2 linked regions of the Lonchura striata genome follow. The protein of the gene in region 1 purifies or fractionates together with the protein of each later gene. This does not show direct contact. Links are inferred from orthologs where the notes say so. Each region holds a gene or a part of one and is shown on either strand. Other genes may lie near its edges.

Region 1 (7,018 bases):
GTTAAATTATCTGCAGTTGTCCATTCTCCCTTCTTTGAAAAGCTTTCACCCCAAAGTTTCAAGCGAAGGGAAGGTGCAGTTGGGACTCCAGTCACTCCCAAAGAAATGTAGAGCCTGAGCATAAAACCCTTTCCTTGGCAACTTAAGACAAGTGAGCTTCTTAAGCTGGCAGGCTCCAGGTGCAGGCACACATTTTTCCATACATCTGCCATGATGGCAATGACTTCTGGTAGAGATGCAGCATCAATGGTATCCACCTAAGGTACAGGGATTTCTCTGAAACGTCTGTCAGCAGGCAGAGATTTTCCACACTGTAAGGCCTGAGCCTAACCCATCCCCTGGACCCTGCCAATCCAAAATTCCTAACTGCAATGGAACTTTTTCCATGTAAAGATACAAGACTGGATGATCACTAGAAAATTAAGTAAACACATTGAGGGTGGCCCTCCCAGAAAGACATGCAGACATACAAAAGGTCTTTCCATTCCATTTTTAAGCATGTCTTTACTATTTATTTATGAGCTTTTGTTATAACAAAGCCTAGTGTTTGAAATGTGCAATATCTGGCCTAAGTGTAATAGAGCATTTATACTCAAAGAACCTCCACAAATACTAAAATCTTGCCCTAAAGCATACACATGCCAGCTACTCACTTTGAACTATCCTTATTTGATTAATAAACAATCAGACCACATCTTCAAATCCATCTACCTTGAAACAAGACTATGTTAAAAACAGTTAACTTGTCAATTTAAAATGAAGATTTTCATTAGAGTAATAGATAGTGTAAAACCTACTTAAAAAAATAATCAGTTTAATATTTTATTGACTTTGTATGCAGGGAATTATTGTAACAAGACGATTATTTTATTTCTTGAGTTACAATAATTGGGAATTTTGAACATTAGTCCACCAAAACCCACTACACATAAAAAAAAAAGAATAATGAAATATTGTTCTTTCTTTTTAGAACCTTTGATAATTGTATGTTCTCCTTTAAAAGAAGTTAGTCTGGCACAGTAAATATGAAAGGGGGAAAAAAAGAGTAACATGCTTCCCTAGAAATAGAGAGCAACAAGCCCAACAAAAAAAAGCAATGAAGCTGAAAATTATCTGAACATTCACAGTGCTGGTTTTTCAGCTTCATATTAGAAATGGAGTTAAGACAATGCTGGATAATATTTGATTTCTCCAAGAACTGATGACTACTCCCTCCAAATTATCAGATCTCAAAAGAGAAATACAGCCATTCTTGAAGATCAGCTGCCATCTAGTGAACAGTGAGAATACTGTTTAAAACATTACTTTCAGTTTTTTGCCAATTTAAACAAGATTCTTGGAGGAATATTGTTTGCCACTTCATCTCTGTAAATTTTGGGGTCTGTAAATTATTCAGAAGCATGGCTACTAAAAAGTATGCATTTGACATAAGAGTAATGTCACTCAGCTAAGTTTTCTACGAAAATATATCAATAACATACATGTGATTCCACAATTTGTTAAAAATAAGCCAATCCTCTGGCCTTTCAATAGGACATATTAGTTTTTTGGGGGCTTCACTATACTAAAAAGAACTGAACTATCAGTGTCTTAAAGTAAAATAATCAGTATTACAGCAATAAAATACAGAAAAACTTTAAAGAAGTTTAAGTAAAAATTTACTTAAATGCAGTCATCAAACAATAATAGCAGAGTTTTTATATTGAATACTAACTTTTGTTACTTTGTTACTTAAGGTTAGATTTGCAGGTGTTTTCCTTCTCATAAGAAATCAGATTTTCCAGATGTTACAATAAGTCTGTTAGAGGGAACCACTATATATGAAAATAAACCACAGAGCTCATTGCAAATATTCAATTTCCCATACTTTCCTTTCCTAAACACAACTTTCTAAAACCAAGCAGAGGATGTACCACTTACAGTTTGAAACTCTGAAACACAAATCTGCCATTTTACACAGAGTATGCTTTGAGTACATACTTGAGGGCACTCATGTTTATGAAAACCTTTGCTGGAAAGAAATAAAACAAGAGAATATGTTTATAAGACATTGGCTTGAAAATACACTTGCCGTCTTGGAATGAAAGTTCCTTATAATCTTTTGTCTGTACATTCTCTGGTATGTCCTCCAACAAATACCTGCTAAGTCTACATATTCCATATGAGCATATTCCATATAAACATTTGCATATGTATGCAGTAAATAACCTTGCTATGAAAAGAAAGATTAAGTAGATATTCAGAAGTAGAGGAATATAAAATAAATACTGAAATTAGAAAATTTGGTAATGAATTGAAAGGAAAGCTATTTACAGGCCCCTTTGCACATAATTAGGCTTAAGGAGAAGGCTTGCTGTTTTTCACACTATGCAGCCCTACAAAATTTTGTGAGTTACTATTCAGCATTTAGAACTATTGTGAACTGGTTCTCTTAACACTGCCTGCTTTTATTCACATGACTTACTGAAATACTTTGTGTACAGCCTTGGTTCAGTATGCAATGTGATTAAACCACAAAGGTTTTCTTACACTGTCCTTCCTGAGGCCTTCAGAATACAATGCAGGACAGATTGTAGTTATGCTGTAAACCACCTTCTCTGGGTTTTCTGTGAATTTGACTGTGTCTGACTAGCACTGAGCATTTGACATCCCAATTTTTGTATGTCTGTGGTCTCAAAGTCTGTGTGTATTCAGCACGTGTGACTTTATTTAAAATGAAGCTACTTTCAAGAATAAAACTATGCACATACTAAATTTTATCTTGTAGCCTACAACACTGGCAGACCTCCTGGAAAGTTTTTTATAAAAGCACCACACAATTCATGGCATAATCTAAGAAGGTGGTGGACCAAAACTTTCCTTAAATGCTAAGTATTTGTCAGAGCAGCACACTAGAACAGGTTTACCAAATGTTGAATGAGTGTCTTAATTACTTGTATCAGCAGCTTCTCAAGCCAATCGTGTGGCTCCCCACATCTTTTAACCAGCACCCACAGCTGAGTGACGGTGACTGGTGACCACGGAGCAGAGGGAAGCACTGGCAGGGGCACAGGAATGGGGAAGCCACACATTTGGGAAGATGTTTCAGAAGCACCAACCAAACGGGCAGTGCTGAGGGCTCAAAAAGAGGGCAAAGAAATGAGGGTGGCAAACAAGTCCTGTTGTGACCAGCTCTGTGGATAACAAGCCAGATGACAATTAGAAAAGGGGGGGTAGGGGGGGCCAATGTATTTCATCTGTGGAATGAGGGTATAAGAGATCTCCAGGACACAGCACTCACCTCACAGGCATTGCTTTGACAGCCCTTCCAAAGGAAGGCCCAGGGCAGTGGCTGAGGCAGGGCATGAGGGAGGTGGCAGACATCGAGTACTGTGGCCAGTTTTGGGCCACTCAGTTGAGGAAGGCCATTGAGGGACTGGAACAGGTCCACAGAATGGCAACAAAGATGTTGAAAGGCCTGGATCACAAATCCTATCAGGAATGGCTGAGGGAGCAGGAAAAAGAGGCTCAGGCAGGACCTCATTGCTCTCCACAACTCCCTGAAAGAAGGCTGTAGCCAGGTGGGGCTTGGCCTCTTCTCCCAGACAGGACAAAAGGCCACAGTCTCAAGCTGCACCAGCGGAGGTTTAAGTTGAACATTAGGAAAAAATCCTTCACAGGAAGGGCGACTGGATATCGAATGAACTGCCCAGGGATCACTGTCCCTGGCTGTGTTTAAGGACAGACTGGACGTGGCACTGTGAGACACGGTGATGCTGGCACACAGGCTGTACTCGATGACCTCGGAGCCCCACTCCCACCGAACTCCTCCCGCGACCCGCGCGGGCCGAGGCGGGGCGCAGTGCGCGTGCTCCGCTGTGGCGCATGCGCGGGGCCGCCTGTCAGCGCGCGAGCGGCCGGGCTGCGCTCCGGCCCGGGGGTCCCGTCCCGCCCGCCGCCGGGCGCTGGCGGAGCGGGAGCCCCGCGGGAAGGCGAGGCGCGGTGAGTAAGGGGCCGACGGGCCCGCGCAGAGCAGAGGGGTTGCTGCCCTCACTCGCGGAGGCAGCGATGGAGGCGGCAGTCTTAAAGCTGCTCCCGCCCGACCCAGGAGATGAGGGCACGCAGCGGTGCCGCTTGGGACCTGCCGCGCTCTCCTTCCTGGGAGCCAGGATCGGCGCCCCGCTGAGGATCTCCTTGCCCGGCGGCTGCTGCCTGTGCACGGCGTGGCCCCGGCACGACCTAGCGGACGGGTACCTGCAGGCCGACCTCAGCTGCAGCAGCGCGGGGCTGAGGGCGCGGCGGCTGCGCGGCCTCTCGCTGAGCGCGGGCCGGCTGCGGCTGCTGCCGCACCGACAGCTGCGGGCGGCGGCCGTGAGAGTGGTCCTCAAGAGCGCCGCGCTGAAAAAGTCGACTCCCAGAGCGGTGTTGCAGGAGACCATCAGAGAACTGCTAAGAAACGTGTACGTTGCGCCTCGTTATGTTGTTACTGTTGCCCCGAGTCCCGAAAATCCCGCGGTGTATATTGAAATACTGTCTGCGTCTCCTTTGGTGGAGGAGGAGGGAGCTGGATTGATAACTCCCCAAACAAGCATAAAAATTAAGGAGGTGATCACTTTAGAATGGTACAGACATCTGTCCGAAGACACTGCAAAAACTCCAATTGCAGGACTGGATGATGTAGCGAAGTCTTTGAAAGAAATTATTGATCTGCCTTTCCGCTTTCCAAAAACTTTCAAGAAGCTGGGTCTTTCTGTCCCTAATGGAGTGCTGTTAATTGGGCCCCCAGGTGTGGGGAAAACTCTAATGGTAAAGGCAGTAGCCAAAGAGCTGGGTGCATATCTGTTTGGTATCAGTGGCCCGGCCCTCCATGGTTCAAGACCAGGAGAAGGTGAAGAGAATTTGCGAAGAGTCTTTGAAAAGGGCAGAGAGATGTCAAACGAGGGCCCAACCATTCTCTTTTTTGATGAGATTGATTCATTATGCCCAAAGCGAGGAAATTCAAACAATGCTCCTGAAGATCGTATTGTTGCTCAGTTGCTGACGCTGCTGGATGGTGTAGGGAGTGAGGGTAAGATGGTCATTGTGGCAGCAACAAACCGGCCTGATGCCATAGACCCTGCACTGAGAAGACCTGGCAGATTTGACAGAGAGGTAAATAAACCCTGTTATTCATACATTCACATTTTTCTTTCTTCATTGAGGTGGAAGGGGGCTATTAATAGGTTTTTTTTAATGTCTTCTAGTCATTTCATAGTGGGATTCTACAGGTTTGACACAGGTGTCTTGTTTCTGTCTTTAGTTTGCTGCAACTTGGGTATGGTTGTTTTGGTGTTTTTTACTCAGATCACTGAGAGCTCCATGTACATGGAAATGGATGGGAGGAATCCTTTTACTTCTTTATCATAAAGACATTGACCTGATCTTCAGGGGCTTTGTTTGCTTACAGATGCTTAGCTTTACAGGATTGGATTTTTTCCATATAAATCCTAGATTGCAGATTTGTGCATTTCTCCTTAAACATTTATTGTTATAGAGAACTAGTAACCTGCTGTGTCAAAACTTCTATTCAGGTTTCAGTAACAGAGGTTGGGTCTACTTTGGAAAACTTCCTTTAGCCTTTTAGTCCAAAGAAGAAGAACACATGCAGTTATACAATACACAATGCTTGTGCTTGTATTGTTTCTTTTCCTGGATAAACCCACTCTAGATCACCAGTTCAATCAAGTTCTTTAATGATTATAAATTTCATTATTTTCTGGGCTTTATAATAATTAATTATTAATTATTATTTCATTATTATCTGAGATGTATTTTTATTATGATGTTTTACCAGGTTTTCAATAATGTATGAATGTTTATCTATTTTATTTTTTCCTAACATATTAGTCTAATTTAGTGCTTGTGATGTAAGGAAATTATTATTATTTCAATGTCTTATCAACAAATCTTCATGCAAACACTGTTCACTTGGAAAGTAAATGGTATTTTAAATACTTGTCATTTGTATAGAGCTGGCAATAGCTTTCCTGTAAAACTCTTTTGTTGGGATATAAGTATATATAAATTTTTAGTAGCCAATATAAAGCAGAGACAAAGTTGCTTGCTTAGGTGTGTAAAATAAATGAGAATGGCAAATTATCTACTTAAAATTTTTGTTTATTGTGTTTGGTTTAGGTTATTATCGGGACCCCAACAGTTACACAGAGAGGATGCATCCTGCAGTTGCTTACATCGGACATGCCCATTTCTGCAGAGGTTGATTTGGCTAAGCTGGCAGAAATGACCACTGGGTATGTTGGAGCTGACCTTACAGCACTCTGCAGAGAAGCTGCCATGCAGGCTGTGTCCCACAGCTCTTTGGTATGGTTGCAGATCAGTCAAGAACAATGTCAGTAATATTTGTACTACCCTTTCCTCATTAATACTTGAAAAGCTCAACATGTTGAAGACTCACACCAATCATATTATAAATATGTTATTTTTGCTCCTTTCAGTTTTCTCCTTAGTCCTGTTACTGCATCTGTGCTTTAATAGTGGCATTTTATAACCTGTTTCAGATAAAATGTGTTACATTCTTCAGTGTGTGGTGAAAATGGATTTTGCAACTTTTTTCTTTCTATTTGTAAGATTGTGGGATGTGATGTATGTTAACCCTGAAAACAACTATTTGATTTAGCAGATCACTGCCTAATGGAGCTATAGTTTAGGGACTAGTAGTTTTCTCTGAAACATTAATTTCTGTTATTTTTTTTTATTAAAACTTGTTATTTCTGATAAACTTTTTTTGTAAAAACTTGTTATTTACTTTATGTTGCGCTTTTGTTTGTGCAGTGTTTAAGCTCATTAGGTCAGGTATTGACTTCCTTATTAGTTGTATTTAGCGCTATGTGATGTGGTTTGCATATTAATGAAGCATTTAAGTATTGCATTAAAATGGTGTTAATATGCTCTATCTGGGCTTACTTTTTCAGGATTCAACTGAAACTGAAACCATGATCAACATGGGAGATTTCCAAGAAGCTTTTAAAAAAATTCAACC
Region 2 (6,305 bases), on another chromosome or scaffold:
TCCTCAGACAAGTGACAAGATGTGGATGTTTTCGGTGGCTTTTGGACATCATGTTCTCTGAACAGTATTGTGACTGACAGATATAACCTAGAAAGTTGGTTTAGTGGCTTGGATTGATGGCTTTGTTATGCAAGCAGAGTGGGAACAAAAGGGGCTTTAAGCTTCAGGATTTATTTTGTCATTTAAAAATAAAGATACTACTTTTCTCTCCTTGAGTGGGATAACTGAGTTGCTGAAGTTAAGCTAGTAGACATTTAGAATTATGTTTTAATCCATTATCAGAAGACCCATTACAAAAAAATGAGATAAAGATTCGGCTGTTTGGGCTGATGGGATAACTGCATTAATGTACTTGGCCATCTTTCTATTGTAATTTTTCCACTCTGCTTGTGTAGAAGGTTAAATATGTAGTAAATCATGTCTCTCTCTCTGTAAGATGTATCTAGTGAAATTATGTTTCTCAGACATACTGTTAAAATTACCTTTTCTAAATTCATTGTTATGCAAATGAATGCAATCAGTGTAAAGTTATTTTTGCAACACACCTTCCAGCCACTGGACACAATTTCCCTTTTCTGACCCACAGCTTCTATAATATACTGACATAGTGTTTGAGGGCTTTTTTGCTTTTTCCCTAAAGATCTGTATTTTTTACATTGGCCAGTTTTTAGACTGCTTATTCCTTTAAGATTGTCCTGTAAATTTAAGATTATTTTGTGATCTTAAATACTAAAGTAATGAATATGTAGTTAATTTACTTTTTTTTCTGTGGTTTTTGGTTTGTTTGTTTCCTGTAAAGAATGGCTTCAGAAAGGCAGCTCAAATGAAGAAAAACCTCTTGCTACCTGAGCCATAGTTTTCCTAACAGCTACTGTATGAGGAGTGTCTCTTTTTGTAGCCTGAAGAACTGGTGCTTGCAGATCTCGTGTAATGAGCACTGTGCCCTTGAGTAACAGTCTGCAGAATTTGTCTTTAGAATTGGAACTGTGGCCTTTAACTTTGGAAACGGTTTATTTGATTCTTTGGGACCATGCTTAGGTGCATACAGGTCAAATAAACCTGTGAACACTGTGGGAAAAGCCAAGTCTGAATGTGGATGATTCTGTTACCACAGTGCTTTTTAATAGGCTACTACAAATATGATAAATAACTCCTGGCTGTAAATTACAAGATACAGAAGAACTACTGTATTCCATGTACTTTGTTTTTTGTGTTGCCTTCTCCAGACACCATCCTGGCCTTTTGCTTTTGATGCTGAGCTTCAGTCTAACAGCGCTGTTCCAGCCATACTGGGAGGCAGTTTTGTTGCTTTAAATACCCAAAAAACATAGTTTATTATTTTTTTCTGTCTTTCCAAGATTTCTCTCTATTTTCAGGATATTTAAATTTTTTTGTTCAAATAAAATCCAGTCTCCTTGCCCCCTTTTTCTCTTGATAAAAGTCTTGATAAAATTAGAATGTGGACAGCAGTTCTACTTCAGTGCTGGTACTCGGCATAAAGCTTGAAGGAGAAATAGATTTGACTTGCCCGGAGAAAAAGTATTTTAAGGTGTCTCTGATGAGGGAAATGAAGCTCTTATCAAGTAGTTACTTGAGCATAACTACCCATATGGATTTTCTTATTCCAGAAATATAACCTTATTGTGAATGAAATAGTAAATAGTTTTTCCTATGTGTAGCTCGTAACAGAATACCATATAAAATACAATAAGCACATCCTGCCTCCTCCTAAGTTCATGCCACATGAAAATGCTTGTCTCAGAACAAGTCCATCCATCTGCAGACCTGTCAGGAACGTGGTGCCTTCTGGAGTGAGGTGTGGCCTCAGAGTCCCTGGCATTTCATGCCATTTTCTTCTCCCTCACTTCTGCATTTGTTCCTTTAACTGTTGCATTGCAGTGACATACTCCAAGGAGTGGAGTGGCTGGGATTCCCTTGTTCCTACACATCCGTATTTCCTGTGATTTCTTTGCTGCCACAGGTGTATTTCCTGTTCCCTTTGTTGCTTCACAGCTCTATTTCCAAGCAGGTCTCTTTATGTCTACATGAGGCTCCAGCTTGGCTCTGACAGAACCCATCATTTGCACTGACATGTTGCTCACTTATCTTCAGCTCTGTGTTACCATTAGATGGGCAGTTGGCTGCATAGTCTTTGTTTATAGCAGGAATCAAAAGTCTCAGGACTTTTTAATGCTCATTCTATATAAAGGCCCTTTAACTGCAACCTTAACAGAGGTTGCAGGTTAGAAGAGACCTGTAAAAATCCTCTTTACACCCCAGGACCTTGGAGAATCTGTTACCTTTATGCACATCAGAAAGGTTTTGATGCTGCAGGAAAGTATGCACGCTGTATGTTCTAGGTCTCTTGTAGCCACCTCTCATGTCTTCACTGTTAAACCACTGTGTCTCTTCTTTCTGTATCTTCTTTTGAAAGTCTTATCTCTAAACAAAGACATATCTATATTTGATCCTGCATTTTATTGACACTGTTGGGTCCAAACTCTGTGTGAGCAGAGCCTTGTGAACCAGTGAGCGGAAGGTGACATAGTGATTGCATTTTTCAAAGCACTGTTTTAGCTGAATGTCGGGACAAATTATACTGGATAGATTGTTTTCTCATTATATTGGCCTGGGAAACAGAATTTTTATTTGCCTTTCAATATGCTTAGCTTTAAACCAGTTTAAAATTATTTAAAGGTGTTTGTTGGGTTTTTTTTTATACAAGACCATATTTATATGCAATTATTATTTGTAAACGTAATGCTTTTCTTGAAATGCTAAGGTCTAGAGTGAAAATGATGCAAAAGCCTCCATTAAGAATAGCACAGTGAATTGACTTGGAGTTCCAGAAAAGATGTTGTTTATTGAACTTCCAGATTTTCTAGTTAGCTATTACTGAAGTGACAAGTCCATCTTGGTAAGGCAGATGTTACTATATATTCAGCTACCCAGATTGTTACACTAAAATTACATGCAATAATCTCTTGAGCAAGTTTAAGCCAAAATGCTTTCCATTTGGGCACAAAATACAGTTGATCTCTTATTTTCATAGAGTGATGCCTTGTGACTTGAATTGTGATTTTTATGTTTAATTTTTTTTTACAAAATTTTGATTTAAACAGGTCTGGCTTGAGGGTGCTGCAGTAACCACCTCCAGTCAGCTGCTGCAGATGGGTTTTTGGAAGGTTCATGTTTTTTAAATCAGGGAGCTATGAAAAAGGCTGTTAACAGAAACATAAAGACAAAACAATGAAAGTGTTCACTTGAAACTTAGAAAAACTACATCATGACCTAGACTTTATAATTTCAAAGTGGTTTGTTTTTTTCTTTTTAGACTATGCATGCCAAATGTCTTGTCTTTTTCAATGATTTGTAATATACATTTTATGACTGGAAACTTTTTGTACAACATACTCGAATAAATGTTTTGCATTTTATTGGTTTTCTTCTGTCTACTAGCCAACACACAGGTAACATGGGCTATTTGAGATGATTCATCAAAGGAGGCCTTTCAGTGTGGAGAGAGGACATAAAGAGCTGCTGTCTGTGCTCCTAACTGATCAGCTGAATTGTGTTCCAGCAGGGATCGTGGGGTGTGTTCCAGAAACAAACAAATGCTTTCCTTAAATGTGATGGAGCCTGGTGGAACCTGCTGTCCTCTCTGATCAGTACCAACAAAAGCAGGGGGAAGAATATCTGGTGCGGTGTGGAGGATCAGAAACAGGACATCACGCCATGATCAATGTGATCAAGTGAAGCCAACTTTATTATACAGAAATCTATATTTATAATATATTCTAATGTCCCTCTAGCTAATACATGATTGACCATTCCTGTCCATGCATCTCAGACTAAATGCTGTTTGGATCACACAATTCTACACACATATTGCTGTGGTCGTCTAGCCCACCCTTAGTCCTTTTTTTCACTTTCTCGAACTTTGCTGACAACTTGGTGATTCTTGCAGACTCTTCTCTCTTCAGGAATTCACTCTCCTTGGTCCTTGAACTGGTTGCTTTGTTACCAGAAGGCTGGATTGTGAATCTGCTGAATGTGTCCATTGTCCTGCAAAAATTCCTCAGCAATCTGGGGCCGGAGCAGATAAACCTTCACTTGCTTTCTCATTGCCGCTGCACTGAAGGGGTTTTTTGATTTAACCTACTTGACGCTAAATAAGAATGAGAGTAGAAACGGATCCCTGGCAGGGATGGACAGAAGTATTGCCACCAGCTGATGCATTTGTCTGCCTGGCTCAGCCTCCAGCCCATTTTTGAGTACAGACTCAAAAGTGGGCTGGAAGCTGAGCCAGGCTGGCAAATTTTAAATTCATTTTAAACTTGTACCTTAAACGCGTTTCATTTTAAATTTGTACCTTAGGTGGCTGCCCTATTATTAGCAGTAGCAGATGATGTTTCTTGTGGAGTGGTAGGAATGCCTTCTGTTTGAAGTGGGCAGATCCAAAGACAGGATGATATGGTTTACAATACTCTGAGTGTGGGCTCGGGCTACTGACGATGAGCACAGTTTTGGCTTCAGCTTTGCTGTGGTACTCAGTGCCCTCCTCTCATGCCATCTCCTACCTGCACATCACATCTCACCCATGAAAAAGAGCTCCCTAGCGTGGTCCTCTCGCATTCGTTTCTACTTCGACCCACAGCATTCTTACTTAATGGAAGGAAGTGTAATGAAGCTGACTTTAAGGGCATGGGCCTCTCACCCGAGTCACCTAAGGCAGAAGAAAGCCTCGAAGAACAGAAGGATGAATTCCAGGAGAACCCATACGGCAAGTTTCTCTCTGCGGGGATCTCAGCAGAGCTGCTGTTTCACCACCGGGTGCAGCTGTGCGGCGTTTGTGTCTCTGGTGATGCCAGTTTAAAGCCCCTTCCCGTTGCCCTCAGTTCGTGGGGCTGCGCTGAGCCCTGGTACTCGAGCCCTGCTGCCTGAACCCCTCGGGAGCTCGCTCGGGGCCGCGGCCGGCAGCGGCACGGGCGCCCCCGGCCGCGGGGCGGGCGGAGCGCTCGGCCCCGCCCCGGCGGGGGCGGAGGCGGCGCTGGGCCCGCCGGGAGCCGCAGGCCGGGCGCCGCCATTTCTCCCTGCGGCGGCGCAGGGCCTCGGCCGCGCTGACTCTGGGCATGGAGAGCGGCTTCGGCTCCGACTTCGGCTCCGGAGGAGGCGGCGGGGGCAAGCTAGACCCGGTGCTCATCATGGAGCAGGTGAAGGTGCAGATCGCCGTGGCCAACGCGCAGGAGCTCCTGCAGGTCAGAAGGGGCGCGGGGCCGGGCGGGGGCTGGCTCGGTCCCGGCGCAGGTCGCGGGGGACGGCCAGGCCGCCCCGCTCCCCTCGTAACGGGGGCGGCGGCTGCAGTCGGAGCCCCCGGACCGCGCTGCCACTCATGGGCTCTCTCCGCAGCGGATGACGGACAAGTGCTTTCGGAAGTGCATCGGGAAGCCCGGCGGCGCCCTGGACAACTCCGAGCAGGTGAGGGCGGGCGGGAGAGCTGGGCACCCGCGGCCCCTTCGCTCGGGGCTGCCGCTGAGGCTCTGTGTCCCGCAGAAGTGCATCGCCATGTGCATGGACCGGTACATGGACTCCTGGAACACAGTTTCGCGAGCCTACAATTCTCGGCTGCAGCGGGAGAGAGCCAACATGTGACGCCTGCCGGCCTCCGGGCCGAGAGGGACCATGTGGGGAAGGGACAGCGGCCAGTCCAGGTGCTTAGGGGTGAATCCTGCTGCCTTCCCAGCCCCTGCCATGGCAGAGCAATAAAACCTCGCTGAACCTTTTGCATCTATTGGCTTTTATTAGCACCAGCTCCAGGAGAGAGTAATTTTTTTTTCCATGAGCTGCTAGGTTTACTTCTTGTCCTTCCTAAGTGTCCAGACTGGCCCAAGGCATTATATCAATTGGTAAGTCCCTACTGAAAGGGCTGTGACAGGCAACGAGCCTTCTGTGGAAAATAGGGACCAAGCCAAGTCAGCAACACAGTACCCTTGCTTGGGATTCCAGCATGGACCCATCCATAAGGTTGTTAGTCCCTTTTCATAGTGGAAAAACTGCCAGAAGATTGTCCACATGCCACCTTGGATCTTTCATTGCTTAGATCTGTATAGCATTTTGTGGGGCTGTCTTTGGGGTCACAGGCTTTGACTCAGCTCAGGCACAGTGTTGGGGAGCAGGACAGCCTTGCAAATGGTTGTATGAGCACAGCTAGGGATGCAGGGTTGAGAAGGACTGGTTGGGAAGTACTTCTTTTCTTTATAGAATACAGTGTGTTGTGTGGCTGTGATACACTCTAGTTTCTGGTT

Evidence for each region. The genes of interacting proteins can lie anywhere in the genome.
Region 2: the proteins of AFG2B (region 1) and TIMM13 purify together in Homo sapiens (co-immunoprecipitation; 3 studies listed by BioGRID and IntAct, with this or other methods). This does not show direct contact. The link is inferred for Lonchura striata from reciprocal best matches to the Homo sapiens genes AFG2B and TIMM13.

The regions. Positions count from the first base shown.
Region 1 is NC_134613.1:14,383,859-14,390,876, forward strand, and holds the start of AFG2B (ATPase family gene 2 protein homolog B), read left to right. Parts: upstream 1-3,922; 5' UTR 3,923-4,047; coding exon 4,048-5,130; intron 5,131-6,153; coding exon 6,154-6,339; intron 6,340-6,950; coding exon 6,951-7,018. UniProt on the Homo sapiens protein: ATP-dependent chaperone part of the 55LCC heterohexameric ATPase complex which is chromatin-associated and promotes replisome proteostasis to maintain replication fork progression and genome stability.
Region 2 is NC_134630.1:1,496,161-1,502,465, forward strand, and holds TIMM13 (mitochondrial import inner membrane translocase subunit Tim13), read left to right. Parts: upstream 1-5,070; 5' UTR 5,071-5,132; coding exon 5,133-5,258; intron 5,259-5,409; coding exon 5,410-5,478; intron 5,479-5,553; coding exon 5,554-5,652; 3' UTR 5,653-5,787; downstream 5,788-6,305. UniProt on the Homo sapiens protein: Mitochondrial intermembrane chaperone that participates in the import and insertion of some multi-pass transmembrane proteins into the mitochondrial inner membrane.